Rattus norvegicus: one gene and its partners. The protein of the gene in region 1 interacts with the protein of each later gene in a pairwise test. Links are inferred from orthologs where the notes say so. Each region holds a gene or a part of one and is shown on either strand. Other genes may lie near its edges. The genes, in order: Ms4a12, Mall and Pllp.

Region 1 (5,420 bases):
AAAGACATAAACAATCAAAATATATTTAAAGAAAATATAATGTTCTGCTTTAAAAAAACATGATTAGACCATTCTGGGTCCTTTCTATGAAGATTGTGAAGCTACACCCCTAGTTGTCACAATACTCCAGGGACCACGGCTGGTTAGGGTAAAATATCTGTCCCCTCCACTCGAAGTCACTGGAATGGTCAGTTTTAATTGTCAATCTGGCACAACCTAGAATCGCCTGAGAAGAGAGACTCAATGAAGGACTGTCTGCATCATGTTTCCCTTTGAGGGATTATCTTAATTAAGTTAATTGATATGGGGGGATCCAACCCACCATGGGTAACACCATTCCCTAGGCAGGGAGTTCTGGGCAGTATGAGAGTGGATAAATCAAGCTGAGCATGAGTAAGTGAGTAGGTTGGCATACACCCCTATCTCATGTGATATGAATAGTTCTTGGAAGTTTCTGCCTTGACTTCTCTACAGTGATGGACTATAAACTGAGATTGTGAGCCAAAAATAAACACTCCACCCCCAAGGTTGCTTTTACAAGGTTCAGTGTATTTCAACAATACATTATTGTTTTAGAGTATTTATGAAATTGTTATTTTTCCTTTAATTCAATTTAATTTTACGTGGTACCTATCCACTGAGGAAATAAACACAGAAGTTTCTGTGACTACAGTCTTCCTGGATAAATAAGATATAATCATAAACTTGGGACAAAATGAACTATGGATATGTTTCTGAGCTTTGGACCAATATAGCAACTGTTGCTTCTCAGAAATTCATGTGTACTCTACAACGAAAGTTGTGATAAGAGTTACAAAGTAAAAGATTTATCCCTTAGCACTGGTAAAATATCTCTTACTTGGTATGAGAACGGTTGTATACCAGCATTTAAAAAAAGCAAGCAACACAAGGACTGGAGAGACCGTGTTGTGGTTGAGAGCATTCACTGCTCTTGCAGAGGACATTACCATTCTCAGCACCCACATGGTGTCTCATAATTGCTTGTAACTTCAGTTTCAGGGTATCTGACCCCAAACCCCTTTGGACATCCTTGAACACCACCAGGCACACTTGTGATGCACAGACATTCATATAGGCAAAATACCCAGGTGCAGAAAATAAAATAATAGTTTTTGAAATAAAAAAAAATATGAGATATAAAAGCAAGTAATGCCATGGATTTTACATCTTAAAATGTGAGAGGAATTCACAGAGGAAAAAGCAAATCCATTTGACAAGTATAACAGTCAGAGCAACTCAGAATGGATGGAACCAAGCTGAGCCAGAAAGGACAGGTTGTAAATGAGTTTTGGAGTCAGTCCCGGGTCATGCATTCTGGGCGTGCCTTGGGCACTTGATTTCTTATGGCTTTGTGTCTCCATGTAGTTGTTGGCACAGTGACATGTTGAAATAATACGTGCAGGATGTTTAAAGTGTTATCCGGCATGTGCTTAATATTCTAGGAGTGACTTGGTTTCTACTGATTCCTTTTCTCATGACTAGCATTGCCTGGACAGAGAACTGCTTTACTTATACAAGACAGTCGCTGTCACTCAGGTCACAGCAGTCTATGAACAAATATACTCATCAAGGATACTAGGAGGTACTTAAGTAGTCACACTTCCTAAAGACCTCTTTGTAGGTCATGCAGAAATCAAACAAAATTTATTAAAAACGTTTATTACATACGTGCGTGTATGTGTACAAGTGCGGGTGTGCATGCATGCACATATACATAGAGGTCAGAGGGTAATTTGAAAGACTCAGTTCTCTCCACTACACGGGGTCTGAGTATCACACATTGGTCATCAGACAAGACAACAAATGTCCTTACCCACTGAACCAGCTCACTGGCCCCTCAAACAAAGGTTTTACCTGAAGCCCTTCCTCCCCTGATGTTTCAGTATACATCAAAATATTAACTGTTTAGGTGAATTCTCATGGATCCTGGTTACATGGACAGTGAATAAAAAGGAATGACTTTGGTTGTAACATTTCACAGGCTACTAATAAAAAGGTTATTTTAAAATGTCTCTCTGGTTTCTTTTTCAGGGAGTGCAAATCACAATTGGATTGATGCACATTGGCTTCGGAGTTGTTCTTGGGTTACTGAGCACCTCTTACTCTATGACTTGGGCATTTTACTCTACTGCTTTTATTGGTGGATATCCATTTTGGGGTGGAGTCTTTGTGAGTAGATTGCTAGGACAACTCTCCCTGTGCAGGAGTAGGTGTCCCCAGCCTGTTCAAAGCAAGTTCTTGGAAAGTTCTGTGTCTAATGGCTAGAGAGTTTTTAGAAATAACAGCTCTGATTGATCAGAAAGGGGGGGCTGCCACTCCCCACTTCAGACTTAACTCTACTGCAGCTTAAACTCATTCCTAATACAAAGCCAAGGTATAGGATGGAGGGTCTTGAAAGGGGATGATCCAAAACATGTGGAAGGTAGAGCGTTCACAAGATGAGACTGAGAATGAGATGAAGTTGAGTAGGAGGCTGTCATGCACAGTCGAGTCATCTGTTATCAAGTCCTTTACATGCAAGAAAATGAGGGTGGGGAATTAGAGTGTATCCCCAAGAGTTAATCTAAAGAAAAAAAGTATGCTGTGTGTGAGGGAAACAAGCAAACAAACATAACTGGACCAATCTCTAGTACAAAGAGACATTCCCAGGTGCAAGCAGAGAACCTACGATTCACGGATTTCTCTATGTCTACAGTTCATTGTTTCTGGCTCACTCTCCGTATCAGCATTCAAGAAGTTCTCTGACTGTCTGGTAAGTTAGAAAACTTATTTCAATTTCTCAAATTCCTTTAAAGATTGGTTTGATTTACTTTCAAGGAAAACCTGAGATGATAGATTAGAAGAGTATGGATGAAAAGAAGTTCTTTCTCAAAATATCTGCCAGCCGCTGGGCAGTGCCTGTGCTGGAGCAGGGGAACAGAGCACTCAGTTTGCTACTGGGAAAGGCAGAGCACCATATTCATGCTCTTGAAAGCACAAGAGAGGGAATCAGTAAAGGCAAGTGTTATTTAAGCTTTCACGTGCTGGCACACTGGTTCTGTTGGGTCACATGGCATTCAGGGAAAACCAAGGAAGAATCTAGGAGCCAAAACCAACCACCTATAAGCCACTTGAACAACAAAGTTCTGGTGTTCACTGCCATTCCTCAGCTCCATCTTGTATTTTCACTTTTCACTGGTGTGTAACTCCTATTGTTACTCAGACTGTCTCTGTTGTCAGTTCTTTAAATCGCCACGAGAGCAACCAGTTCAGAGGAAAGGAAGAGCACATAGAAATGACCACAGAGACTGGACTTCGGTTCTCCCAGCCTCAGCATGCCCCATGTTATAATTTCCTACTTTAGTAGCAAACCAGGAGAAAGATATCTTTTGCATAAACCTAGACCAGAAATGGTCTCAATATTATATGAGATCATGCACAAGAACAAAGGAGGGAGATAGGAACATGGAATCATATTTTTCATGCTCTCAAGATAAAACAGTGAGTTATGCTAGAATTAAAATCAGCCTAGTCTGATTAGTTGCATCTATTGTAATCCAAAACAAAACAGAGCATCCTTCTCTATATAGGTCACATCCCTCACAGGCTGTGTAGAAAGAGACTCTACCTCTTGGGATTGTACAACTAGATAGGAATGTATAAAGTCAGATACTAGGACCATCCCATGTGTAGTGGCTGTAAGAGTTAAAAATTACATCATTTTAAATATTTAACAAAATATCTATCACAGAATGCCAATTAAAAGTTTGTTCTTGCAGCTGTAGATCATTAGTTAAGAGCAGACTTAAGTTCTCTTCTAGAGGACCAGGGTTTCATTCCCAGCACTCACACAGTGACTTGTATTCTGTATAATTCATAGGGGAGAGGATTCGATCTCTCTCCTGGCTTCCGTGAGCACAGCATGCTCATGCTACAAAGATATGCATGCAGGCAAAACACCCAGATAAAAAATAAAATTAAATCAATTTTTAAAAAAAGCCCTTAAGTTTGTTTTTTTTAAAGTAGAGTTTTTTTTCAGTTCTTTACAGTTTTCATAAAATATATTTTGAATATTTTCTCTTCATTCTGCCAACTCCTCCCAGATCTTCCCAACCTCCCTACCCACCCAACTTTGTGTTCTTTCTGTCTTGAGAGAGAGAAGGGTGGATAACAAGATCTTCCCCATAGACCCTGAGCCTTAAGAGGTTGATGAAGATGTTCCATGCAGAAATGAGTGCTCCCAAGTCTTTCACTCCCTACACATTTTCCAGTTATGTCATGGAGATGTTATTGTAAACAAATGCCATTACATAAATGTGTTGGACGGCATTCTACTTCAAATTACATTTATATTGTCTCATATTTCTGTTACTTAAAATATTTACAGCTTCTTGGGGGGTGGGGACTGATAGCTGGAATACAGTGTAATTTTCACAACTATTCAGAAGGGCAGAAGAAAGATGTTATATCAATTTCGAATATTGTTTCATGGTAAGGATATAGGTCGGTGGTAAAGGACTTGCCTAGGATGCATCAAACCTTGAGTTCAATCCTCAGTACAGTCAAAACTAAAACAAGATGCCAACAATTAAGAAACATTAACTTGGAAAGACTCCCACTCCCTTTACATTCATTTGCCTTTTGCATGGATTACTGTTCTTGTTACCTCTATTAGGTGAAGAGTACCCTGATAATAAACATTTTTAGCATCATTTCTGCCTTTGTTGGAGTGGTTCTGTTTCTGTGTGATCTGAACAATAATGGCCACTATTATCAAGACTACTGGATGGTGGTAAGTGTCCTTCCATTGGCCACATGACGGTTCCTTTTTCACTACTAGAGTATATCCATTGCTGTCTCCTATTCATTAAACAGTGGTTCTGTTGAGAAAGTTCCATTTCTAACCCTACTCCTAGGGATGTGATTGTTAATACAAAGTGAAAAATTATATTTGCAGATAGATGAAGTCAGAACAACCACCCCATCACCATCACAGGCTCAATAGATACAGAGAAGAATTTCTTTTTTCTGCATTTGAAATTCTGCATAAATACAATAGCCATGTCTTACGTGGCTTTTTTACCATGAAAACAGGAAGACTGTCTGCGTGTGCAATCACCCCCTGATTATTTCTCTATTGTCATCAAATGCTTATTTAGGAGAGATACAAATGTCTTTTGATTTTTTAAATAGCAGAAGACTTTTTCTTTCAGCAAATAAACTACTTAGGAATAATGGAATATAAATGATTTTTTTTTCTCGGGAACAGTCTCACTGCTGTTATAAAAAAAAAGAAAGTTGGGTTGGGGATTTAGCTCAGTGGTAGAGCACTTGCCTAGCAAGCACAAAGCCCTGGGTTCGGTCCCCAGCTCCAAAAAAAAAAAAAAAAAAAAAGAAAGTCACTCACAGAGTGAGTTGAA
Region 2 (6,068 bases), on another chromosome or scaffold:
AATAAATGGAGGCCTATCCTCACCTTACTGCCCATCGAGTGAAGGTTCTTCACTCTCAAGAGGTTATCGTCAAATTGTACTTTCAGATAAGAAATCTGGAGTCACCACTACACTGAACAAAGCCTTGGGTGTGTTGAAGTCTCACGCCATGCTAGTGAAGCAGTAAAAATGCAAACCAGCCAACCACTTCCCAGCCACCCTGCAAAACAACTTCTCAGTCTCCTAATGATAATAATAAAATAGACATCTACTGTTCTACCCAGCAAGTTACTCTTAGGTGTTTCCCCTCAAAGAAGTACAAATGATGCCCCCAACAGAAACCTGAGCAAGGCGCCAAGAGCAGTTCCATTTGAAACTGCCTACGTCAGGAGACATTCAATAGAGCTGGGCTAGATTACGGTGAGTCCTTACCAAGGGCTCACTCAGCAATAAAAAGGAGCAAACTGGGGGTTCAGACAACTCAGATGGACACCAAGATTCACGCTTCACAGGACGAGTGGGTACCTAAAGGTCGTGTACTGTTCAGTTACATTTCTGTACATAACTTTCTTGAACTAAAATCATTATCGTGATTTTTTTCTAATAGACTGTTTGGAATAGCAAGGGAGTGGGATGGGTTGGGGAAGTCTAGAGAGTAGCAAAAAGGGGGCTTTGGTGTTATGGGACAGTCCTGAACCTCAGTTGCTCTCAGACAAATCTACTCTAAACATGAGATCTGTCTTCCCAACCTCAGTTTCCTGGGTTGAAAATAATGCTAGTTAGATGCGGGGACTACAAGTTCCTGTGAGAACAACCACTACCACAGAGTAAAATGTTTTAATGTGAATTTTAATGCTGAGGAGTGGGAGATAAAGCATTGTAGGCAAAGGTCAAAGGTCACTAGAGTAGGCTAGGGGGAGCCTGAGTAACCTTTGCTGTCATCTTCAAGAACCACGAAGAGCTAGAGGCTGTACTTCCTCTGCAGTCAAAGAGGCCCATGATTAGGGAGAGCTTGTCCGCTTTGATCTGACAATGAATCTGCCCACTCTTGGTTCTATGTGAACACACACACACACGCACACACACACACACACACACACACACACACACACACACACACACACACACAGTGGTTAGGAGAGGTCACTGTAGACACCATGTGCTGATATCACCCCGAGCTACCCCATGAGGAATCACTGTGCCCTAGCTCTAGGGTTCTGCTTTCTGTGCTCTGCAGAGGTGTCCTGGCCTCCGTGCTTTCTAATGTGTTCTATATAGACTTTTGTCTCACACCAGAAGACTTAGGGATCAGGGGTGCCTGGAGGCTTGGTGCTTTCACACTGCCCCAGTAGACAGCAGAGCGAGAATACATCAGATCACTAGAGCCAAAAGAAGGGCTTTGGACAAACTCATCCCGCACACATAACATCTTCCCAGCTTCTTCTGCCCATGACATCAAAATCTTTTCCCCCACCTTCTCATTTCCTTCCCCATCCTCCAAACAGGCACACATCATTCTGGAGTCCTTCTAGGCATGCTCAGAGCAGGTACAAGCAGCATGTGCAGAATTATGTACTCAACACAAGCACACACTCAGATACAGACATACACACTCACACTCACATACTCACACATACATGCACACACATACACTCATACATTGCACACACACTCAGATACAGACACGCACTCATACACATACACACATAAATACATGCACACACACATATACACACACTCACGCATACATGCACACATATACACACACTCATACACACTCAAATACAGACATGCACTCACACACATACACACATATTCATGCACACACTCACACATACAGACACTCACACATATGCACACATATACACATTCACACACACTCAGACACACACTCACACAGACTCACACACCCCTTCACATACACACACATACACATGCACACATGCACACATATACACACTCACATATGTGCACTCACATACACTCAGATTCAGACACACTCACAGACTCACACACCCCTTCACACACACACATACACACAGCACACTCACATATGTGCACTCACACACACTCAGATTCAGACACACACTCACACACACAGATTGAAATATCCCTTCACATGCACACACACGTACACACAGAGATCGTGCATGTGCTCCATCTGTGAACACATTTCTGTGTTTTCTAAGTTTTCATCAATGAATGAAGATGGATTGCAAATTAAAGCGACAGGGACAGTGAGCGAGCGTAGAAGTCTAACTACGACCAGGGTCCGCAATAGCCGACCGACCGTGCTTTCTCTAGAAGACGGAGACGAAGGCGGAGGAACCTCCCGGGATTAAGGGGAAGGACAGCCAAGCACAATCAGGAGCTTTGACCTGGATCCTGGGCTGGGGGGAGGATATTAGTGGGGAAATGAGCAAGTAGGACAACAATGGTCAATGGCGGAGTGCTCGTGTTAACTTCCTGGCTTGGAGAGACCTGGGGGTTCAGAGTGAGGAACAGACTTCCTGTGCGGCCACTATGGCTTTAGGAGAAATCTAAAACTATTTAAAAGTAAGTCAAGAAAATCAAATCAATGACAATGACCTCATCCCCTCGAAGTCCCAGGACACCAGGAAAGTACTTTTCCAGGAATCCAACTGCAGGAGGAGAGGTGGGGACACCTGTCAGCGCCTCTAGTGACAGTTCTCTACCTGACTGCTTTCCTGCCTCCGGCATCCAGTGTTCTTCCAGTGGCAACTCCCAGTGACAGGACTGGACCCTCACTCATCTGGCTGGGACACCATGCTGCATTCTAACTGCTCAGAAAATGCTCCCAAGCCTCTCTCTGTCCACAGAGACCCCTGGCAGGTAGCCACTCCGCTGACCATGATTTTCGTGACTGACAAGCATTCTCTCAATAGAATTCAGCAGAGCCATCCTGCCATCCATGTGGCTGTTCCAAAGTGAGGCCCACACCCAGGGCCTGGCACACAGAGCTCAGGACGTGATCAGCCTGGCAGGATGCCCACATTTGTGGGGGGTTGGCGCTGGAAGAAACCTGCCTCTTAGGTGGAGTTTCTATCAAGGCCACCTACCTGTGGAACCCATAAGCCTGACTTCCCTTTCTTGATCGACAAGAATGGCTGTTGGTTAAGCAATTTGCCTAAAGGTCACTCAAGGGGACCTAACCTTCCACGGAAGACCAGGAGAAGGGAAAGGGTTGGTCACACCCATTTTATGTAAGCAGTCCTACTCCAAGTCTCCCTCCCAATCCAGAGGCAGCATGGTCAAATTCAGGGCTAAGAAGAAAATTTCACCCACAAACTAGATATTACGGGAGGCTTGGCGGGGAGTGGGGGAGGTGGATGAGAGCAGGAACCAGCCGAGGGACCTGTTTTGTTTTCTACTGAATGCACTGCTCAGTGCAGGCATGGACTAGCGCCCAGTTCTGCTGTGTGGTGTCCCAGAGTCGGGCAGCAACAAGTTTTCCAGAGTAACCTGGGCGGTTCAGATTGTTTTATGGATGATGCTGTCAGGAGCTCCCTCTGGCAGGGAGTACACATAAATCAAAGTTCAAAGTCAGCTGATGTGATTTGAGAAAATGCTGGGAGACCTTCTTTCAGAAGGCCCTTAGAGAGTCCCCTAGTTCTTTGAACTTTAGGAAACAGCAAGGGGGAAAGAAACCAGGTAATAGAATTTTCTTAGGGGTCTGGGTAGTCTAGAAGGTGGCTGGACTCCTCCAGCAAGCGAGTGGCCTGGGGATGGCTCTTCAAGCTTTGGGAAAGAGGAAAATTCGCTCTATTGGAACCTAGTCTGGGACACGGGAAAAGCAGGAGCCTGTAGCTAGCTGCCTTTCCCCATCCCAGTTACAGAGAGGTTCCCGGTGGTTCCGCCCCTCCCTCCCCGCAGGTGGGGGCAGCCACACTCACCAGCTCCGGTAGGAAGAAGGCATAGGGGATGGTGAGGAACAAGGCGGCGACCCCCGAGGGCACTTCAGGCGGGGCGTAGCTGGTGGCCGGCGGTGTGTCCCGGGAGGCCATGCTGTCACCTATGCTGGCGTCCTTACTCCGCGGCACTCGCCCGCGCCCGCAGCTGTGCAAGAATCACCTCCCGCCCGCCAGACACACCCATCGGCCAGAGGGACGTCGTCGCCTGGGAGGGGAAAAGAAAGGTTCCAGTGGATCAGGTCCTTCTGTGTACTGTGGCTAGGCAAGAGAGGGGACAGACCAGCCTTGCAGAGGCTCTTTCTATCTAGACCTCCCTGCTAAGGAACTTTTGAATGCTGGAGCAAATGACTCCAGATGATATGAGTGACAGTGTGTGAATGGAACAGCTTTGTATGCCCCTGATGATCTCTGTGCTCAGAGTGTAAGCAAGGGCTCTTTTTGCTAAGATAAAGACCATTTTATTGAGGATCTACTGTATGGTTAGCCACCTACACACACATCTGGAGCTCAGACAGACCACCACGTGTCTATGTTGTACCTTTCCAAGAAAGGAGACTAGAAAGAGGTGCAGTTAGGATCACAGAGCGGTCACAGCAGCATCCGCCTTGTCCTCAAATTCTAATGGAAGGATTGGAGCAGCCTGGTTTCCACCTCCCCTCCTCAGGGACTCTGAATTCCTCTTGGTTCCTCCTCTTGATGTCTTCTTAGTCAGTTAGGACACAGGATTGGAGCCAGGCAGTTCCTTCCTGAGTAGAGCCTGGGGCTGGCTGCACACACACACACACACACACACACACACACACACACACACACACACACACACACACGTCAGGTCTGGAGACTGGGTCACTTTCTTCTTTACCAACCCACTAACCTTCATTTTTTTTCCACCACCCTGAGGAAAAAGTCTGGCGCCCCAGAGTCGTCTTCCTTCCCTCTTTGGCTCCAGAAGGCTAGTTGGAAAGCCTCCTCAGGAGGAGAGGAGGCATGGAAGAGTTGCCCCAAGGACTGGGGGATGTCCTGCACAAGAGCCCTGTGTCTTGTTTCTTAGCAACAGCAGGGAACTCCTGGGCAAGCTTGGAGAAGTAGCCTGTTAGCCCCACCTGGTCTGGAGCGGCCAGCAGAGTTTGGATACACGAAGCAAAGCTTAAAGCCAAGGCATTGCAGGGAAAAGCAAAGGTCTCCTCAGCAAGCTTCGAGCCAGCCTCAATCTTTTCCAAGTTCTAGAGCTTATAGTTCATATGCTTCAGTCCCCACGCTGCTGGCATCCGAAGCCATCCACCTTTTGTGAATGCCATACATAAGCATTATGCATTCTTTGGGGCTCTGACCCCCTTTGACGTGACCGTAATCTACATGGGGCATCAGGAACAGCAGAGTAAGAAGTACACACAGGTTCCAAGGATTCGACTCCGGTCATCAGGCTTGAGGGACAGTCAATGCCTCTACCTGACAAGCCATCTCACTGGCCTGGAAAGCATGAATTCTGAGTAGACTGTGAGGTTAACCATGCCCATTGAATCCTAGAGCAGCTTGTAAACAAATTCCAGGGACACGAAGGCACACAGCATCCCCGGTGCTCTCTTCGATGCTAGCCTCAGTCCTGATTCACCGAGATCCTGTCACAAAGGAATATGTCAGAGCACGCTAGAGCACACATCTGTATATATACATATTCACATACTGTCGACTCACAGTGTGCTGTACACACACACACACACACACACACACACACACACACACACACACACACACACAAGTTCCAGCAAAGGAAAATTCTACCAGTAGGGAGCTGTGGGTAGTCAAAATGAAGGAATAGTGACATGGATGGTAAGTATGTGGGCAAAGTATTACCATGGTCCAGAGCAAACAGTGTACTCGTATTTGGTGATAATTTTAGTTTGTATGTATTTAATACAGTGACCTCCACACGGGGCAAGAGAGAGGTAAAGGGACCATATGACGATAAGGTTTCTGTAGTCTCTCTGAAGTGGATTTTTTTTACATATTTTAATTTCACCTACTGTTAGTGTGTGTGTGTGTGTGTGTGTGTGTGTGTGTGTGTGTGTGTATGTTCATGGAGGTTTGCCATTTTACAACAGTTTATCTCTCTAAAATTTACCTCAATTCTTGTTTGTATTATGTTTCCCTGTTGAA
Region 3 (6,146 bases), on another chromosome or scaffold:
CGATCCTCCTGCTTTAGCCTTCCACTCACAGGGGCACTGGGGTTACAGGCCCTGTTTGCCACTGTACCCTGCTAGACCCTTCTTTTTTTTTTTTTTTTTTTTTTTCTTTATTTCGGAGCTGGGGTCCGAACCCAGGGCCTTTCGCTTGCTAGGCAAGCGCTCTACCACTGAGCTAAATCCCCAACCCCTAGACCCCTCTTCTAAAACCCCAATCATCTAGACAGACTCGTAAGAGCTCACCTCTTCCAGGAAGCCCTCCCCAGGGCCTTTCGCTTGCTAGGCAAGCGCTCTACCACTGAGCTAAATCCCCAACCCCTAGACCCCTCTTCTAAAACCCCAATCATCTAGACAGACTCGTAAGAGCTCACCTCTTCCAGGAAGCCCTCCCCAAAAGTCTTGGCTGAGTCTCCCCTTCCGGAAGAGGTCATCCTTCTCTTGCAAGGTCATCTAGGAACCCCAGAACCTCATTTAAAGGCAGCAGGAGACATTGATGGAGTCAGTCGTCAAACAGCCAGCTCTAAGTGCAAGTCCTACCCATGGGCAGTAGCTTTGCTGTCTTCCCTCCAACCCCGTCCTGTGACTCTATTCAAGTCCCTTTGTGCTTATCAGTAAGTCCCAGGTAAGATCATCCCTTGTCCCAAAGCTGGGGAGGGGACATGTGTTAAAAAGTAGCAAAAATATGAGCCCGGCAGTACTTGTGAACACCTTCAATCCCAGCACTTGGAACACACAGGCAGGAGGATTTCTGTGAGTTGGAGGCCAGCCTGGTCTGTGGAGCAAGTTTCAGGACAGGTAGGGCTACACTGAGAAATCCTGTCTCAAAAAACAAAAACAAAATAAGAAAGGAAAGACAAATATGAGCACTTCACCCCCACACTCTTCAAAGTTTTTCTAAACTCATTGGGATGCACCTCAGGTGCCTGTCAGCACCTTCCTCTCCCTTGCCTCACAAAGAACTGTAACATAAAGCAAAAAGTTGTCTCCAGGTCAAATTCACCTGCCTGTTTAGACAATAGCTGCGAAGACTCGCTTTCGTTACTAGGAAGCTCAGCTGGGAGCCAACATTTTAAACTTGCAGGTTTCCTGCTAGATTAGGTCTTTTCTTAGCTTTCTCAAGCCAGGCTTTAGAAACACACTAACTTCTGTTTTAATGATTAACAGCACCCTCTGATATTCTTTCTGGAGCTAGATGGGTGTGGGCAAAGTTATGGAGTAGTAAAAAGACCATCAGGTGTCTGTAGATGTCAGGTTCTGCAGGCGAACCACCATGCTAAACGAAGAACTATGTTTTGCTCCGGAAGCTTGGGCTTGCTATTCATCCATCTTTCTACCACTGCAGGACTCTCTATACCCTAGGAGACAGAGCCAGTGGCCTCAGTTTACCGCCTCCTCCAGGCAGCCTTTCCTGATCCCCAGGGGCCTGGCACTAGGCATGGAGCCTCTCTCACTTCCTCTAAAGTGTCACACCCCACACTGTAAGAGCAAACCAATATGAGTAGGGGCCGGAGAGGTCAGAAAACAGCTCTCCAGGATGGGAGTGATTAGAAAGAAACTTCTGAGCCTGTTTTCTCATCTGCTAAGAGAAGAAAATTCTAGTCAAATCTGGCCATGCTGGTGCATGCCTTTGATCCCAAAACTCTTAATTCAAAGCCAGCCTGGTCTATAAAGTGAGTTCCAAGACAGCCAAAACTATGTGGAGAGACCCAGTCTTTCAAACAAACAAACAAACAAAAAACAAAAACAAAAAACAAAAAACACCTAGCCAGCCTCCAGTTGTGGCTTTCCAGCAGGTATGGTGCCTATCTTGGCCCCTCCCCACTCTTGGCCCCAGTGGAGTAGGTTGCCACAGAAACATCTTAGGAACCAGCGGCTGGCATAGTCTCCAAGTGAGGTCTGTAGAACGAATATAGGGACGGAGGTAGGGAGTAAAGGGCACCTATCACTTCACACCCTGACATCTTCATGCTCCAAAACCTCCCAAGGCCACCAACATAACCAAGACCCCAGTTCTGGCCCTAGATGCATAAAATGCTGGGCTCCTGGCCAGACCAGAAAGATGCTTCATCTCCTGCTCAGCCTGTGGCCTTCTTTCCCTACCTCACTCAACTCAGCCGTCTGCTGTCCCCACAGCATTGCCCGCACTACCCCAGCCTCGCATTCCACTGAAGGCCCAGCTCAAAAGCTAGCCTTTCTAGCCCCTCAGTGAAGCCCTCCTAGACCTTTCTCCTCTCTGTCCCTTTCACAAACCATTTAGCTCCGCCCACAGCCCAAAGCTGACTCTCGGGTGTGAGGTTCAAAGAAACCAGCTGCAGACCCTGGAGTAGTGGTGCCGGGTGGCGCCCGAGAGTAATTACAACACTTGGGAAAATCTAGTCCAAGGCTAGCCTCGCCTACATAAGGAATTTGAAGCCAGCAATAGCTAAGTGAGAATTCAAGACCAATCTGGGCTATATGCGACCCAGTCTCAAGAAAATAAAAAAATACAGAAACGAATTGAATAAAACAAAATAAATAAAACAAACAAGCCAATCGCCAAGAGCCCAACACTCCAGGGTCGACTGTGTCTACGCTGCAGAGTTAAATTGGTCCCAGAAGAGGGCATCGAGCTATCTTCCCTGATCTCATCAAAACCAAACAGTAGCCCAAAACCACTCCGGAAGAAGACATTAAAATGCAAATTTCTTGGTGCGCTATTGAAGATTTAAAGTGCGGTTTCACATTTTTCCCTGGGGTGGGGCCCAAGAATCAGAATCTTAAACAAACCCAGGGAGAAGACGGCGCGGGGTTGGGGGTGAGGGCGAAGGGCGAAGGCTCACTAAGGAAGATCAGAAATCTCGAAACCAAGATAGCATGCCCTAGGTGGACATGGCCACTCCCCTGGAGGGCAGGAAAGACCTAGTCTCACTGCAGGTCTCCCGACTCCCTAGCTTGGCCTGGCACCCTGGCTCCATGTGCCCATTGGAGGGATGACAGAGACGGCCACCTCCAGTGCTACCCTATTCCTCTGCCAGTGGATCTCAGTTAATGCAGAGGGCTCCCCAGAGGCAGCCACAGGCCTCCAGACCCTTCCAGGAAGATACTATAAAAAAGATAGCTGACATCTTAGGATGCACCTAGTGGGGCCTGATGAGTACCGGGGACGGCAGGCACGTGGTTTCTGGCCTTTGCCAATCTCCACAGCCCAAGGAAGGAGATTTGGTCCACGGACCCCGGGCAGGTACCATGGAGGGAGCGCGCGAGTCAGGGCCACCGATGTGGTGTCCTGCCCTGTCCAGGAGGGCTGCAGAGCCAAAGCACTTAGTGGCTAAAGCCGGGTGAAGAGGCAGACAGTGGACTTTGCCCGGCGGAGAAAGCCAGAGCACGGTCCTAGAGGGAAGGGGGCAGGGCAGAAGGAAAGGGACAGACTGGCGGACTGTAGTGAGCTGCAATCTCAGCTGCGGCGTCGCCGCGGGAACCACCCGAGTAGGGTGTGTAGGTCCCCTCCATAGGAGTCATGCTGTGCTCGCAGGGCTGTCACACGACCGTCCCAGGGTGCAAGGTTCCAGACGATCTCGGAAGTGTGCGTCCCGGGGGTCCCCGGAGAGTTCCCCATCCAGTCCCCGAGCTACCCCGCTCACCAGCTGCAGAAGCGCGAGCACCCCAAGGGCGGAGCGCACAAAGCCCAGGTCCGGTCGCATCGCAGACACAGATGCTCCCACGCCCTGCGCGGGGCTGCTGGTCCTGGTGCTCACTTTCGACGGGAACTCCGCCATAGCGATCGCGAGCCTACGACGCTCGGGACGCGCTCCCGGCGCTGCTCCGGGGCTGCGACAGCGGATCCCTAGACAGAACCTACAGGTGCGCGAAGCCCGACCCCGCTCCGCCCGAGGCCCCGCCCCTCGAAGAGGCCCCGCCCCTTAACCCTCGGTTCGCCTGTTTGCTCTGGATAGAGATCGTGAAGAACCCCTAGTGTGCTGGTGTTTGGGCAGGTCTCTGTGAATAAGCGTCCTTGGGAGTTCTACCCGCCTCGGGGTACGCAGTGTAGGAGAGTGGAGTGGAGTCATTTCCTGGACTGCAGGCGGGTTCCTTTCTAAACAGATAACGAAAAACGGGCAAGTGCAGGAGAGGGGACGACTGAAAATCCAAGGCTAGCCTGCTTATATAATGAATTCCAGGATTGTTTGGGCTACAGGGTGAGACACCTACAGAGTGTCTCAAAACTAACTAACTAACTAGCTAACACTACCTAAGTCGGGCAGAGAAGCATGTGACTGTAAACCCCGCCAGAGGCCAGGAGAATGAATTCAGATTATCTTGAGCTACATAGGGAATTCCAGGTTAGCCAGGGGCACATGAGACCTTGTCTACACGACAAACAAAACAAAATGAAACAAAAACTAGTCTAGTGGTACACGCTAATCCCAGATATTAGGGAGCTAAAAATACGAAATGGTTTGGGGACCAGGAATGGAGCTACTCGGTAGCGGTAGCGGGCTTTTCTGGTGTAGTTGTGCAAACGCAAGTCCCTGGAACCAACCAGCACGGCAGGTAGCAACTGACAATCTAGAACCTGGAGAGGGCTGAACAGTGGCTCCTTCTCTGTCCTAGAGGGTGTACAGGTATCCACTTTGAAGAACTATTTGAGAACACTCAAAGTCTTGTGCAGAGAGGCTTGACTTTGGGATGAGGGGTGATACTGGATTTCACTGCTGTGTGTGCCCTGAAAATCTTTTCCCCTGCACAGACATGAGGAGTCACGTGCATAGACCTTTGTGCAAAAGCAAACTGGGGAGGAAAAGGGTTTATTTGGTTTTTGCTTCCACATCATTGTTCATCCCTGAAGGAAGTCAGGACCGGAACTCAAGCAGGGCAGAGACCTGGTGGCAGGAGCCGATGCAGGGCTGCTTACTGGCTTGCTCAGCCTGCTCTCTTGTAGAACCCAGGACCACTAGTTCAGGGGTGGCACCGCCCACAATGGGTGGGGCCCTCCCCCATCAATCACTAAGAAAATGCTCTGCAGGCTTGCCTTCGCCAATCTTACGGGGGGGGGGGGGCATTTTCTCAAGCCAACTTCCCTCCTCTTGGATTGTATCAAGCTGACACAAAATCAACCAGCACATTAGTCAAGGAAGACCTATCAGAAGGGATGACACCTGTGCAGAAGCCCGAATTTGTGAGTAGGAGGAAACCTTGGGAGGACGTAAGCAAGGGGCGGAGTCTGTGCAAAGGCCCTGTAGCAGGACCAACCTAGGGAGATGGAGAAATAGAAAGCAGGTCCCCAGTGGGACTGAGCACATGAGGGTGACACTGGCCCCCAGTGAGAAGGGACCAAGTCACAGAGGCTATGCAGACTACTGTACTATCCTGTGGCTTCTGGTGACAACTTACCACATGCTCCAGGCCTTAAAGTAACAAAAGTTTCCTCTCAGTGATGGAGGCTAGATACGCAGAAGCAGCATCATGGAGACACAGCCGTGATGTCCTGAGGCCAGGCAACCTCTGGAGTTATTTTTTTTCTCACATTTTGTTTTAAGACCGGATTGCTCTGTCACCCAACTGACTTCATGCTTTTGACATTTCCGTGTAGGTCAGGTCTTTACACGCTGGGATTACAGGTGACCAGCCATCAGTGGATTCTGGTACCCTATCTAGCCCTGTCTATGTATCGTCAGTCAGCTCTCCTCTTCCTATGCACAAGATCTACACTCCCACCCCATCTCTTTTGTAAGGATGTGGTCATGACGATATTGCCTACGAGATAATACAGTTCAGTATCCTCAAATCAGGAACTTGAAATATTTATTCAGTCAGCCAGTCACTAACAATCTGCAAAGATTCCTTTTTCTTCTTTTCTTCTTCTTTATTATTATTATTTTTTTTAGTATAGAATAGAGTTTGTTAGGTCATGGGGAGGGGATGTAAGAGGGTAGTGGGGGCAGAGAGAGAGAGAGAGAGAGAGAGAGAGAGAGAGAGAGAAGGAAGAAGTAGAAGAGGAGTAGAGAGGCCGCCCATGAGCACACGGAGAGAGATGGGGGAAGGGAATGGGGAGAGAAGGCACAAAGTGGGGAGAGGGTAAGAGGAAGAGAGCAAGAGTCTTCTTTTTAAAGACAAAGTCTCATGTAACCCAGGCCAGCCCTGAACTTCTGATGTGTCTGATGATGGATTTT

Evidence for each region.
Region 2: the proteins of Ms4a12 (region 1) and Mall interact in binary tests that used the Homo sapiens proteins (3 or more experiments, as listed by UniProt). The two-hybrid records come from large-scale screens. The link is inferred for Rattus norvegicus from reciprocal best matches to the Homo sapiens genes MS4A12 and MALL.
Region 3: the proteins of Ms4a12 (region 1) and Pllp interact in binary tests that used the Homo sapiens proteins (3 or more experiments, as listed by UniProt). The two-hybrid records come from large-scale screens. The link is inferred for Rattus norvegicus from reciprocal best matches to the Homo sapiens genes MS4A12 and PLLP.

The regions. Positions count from the first base shown.
Region 1 is NC_086019.1:217,308,010-217,313,429, reverse strand, and holds part of Ms4a12 (membrane-spanning 4-domains subfamily A member 12), read left to right. Parts: exon of another isoform or gene 1-2,052; coding exon 2,053-2,190; intron 2,191-2,716; coding exon 2,717-2,773; intron 2,774-4,675; coding exon 4,676-4,792; intron 4,793-5,420. UniProt on the Homo sapiens protein: May be involved in signal transduction as a component of a multimeric receptor complex.
Region 2 is NC_086021.1:135,400,033-135,406,100, forward strand, and holds the start of Mall (MAL-like protein), read right to left. Parts: upstream 4,035-6,068; 5' UTR 4,005-4,034; coding exon 3,894-4,004; intron 1-3,893.
Region 3 is NC_086037.1:10,318,901-10,325,046, reverse strand, and holds the start of Pllp (plasmolipin), read right to left. Parts: upstream 3,968-6,146; 5' UTR 3,753-3,967; coding exon 3,618-3,752; intron 1-3,617. UniProt on the Homo sapiens protein: Main component of the myelin sheath that plays an important role in myelin membrane biogenesis and myelination. Plays an essential function in apical endocytosis. Regulates epithelial development through the regulation of apical endocytosis.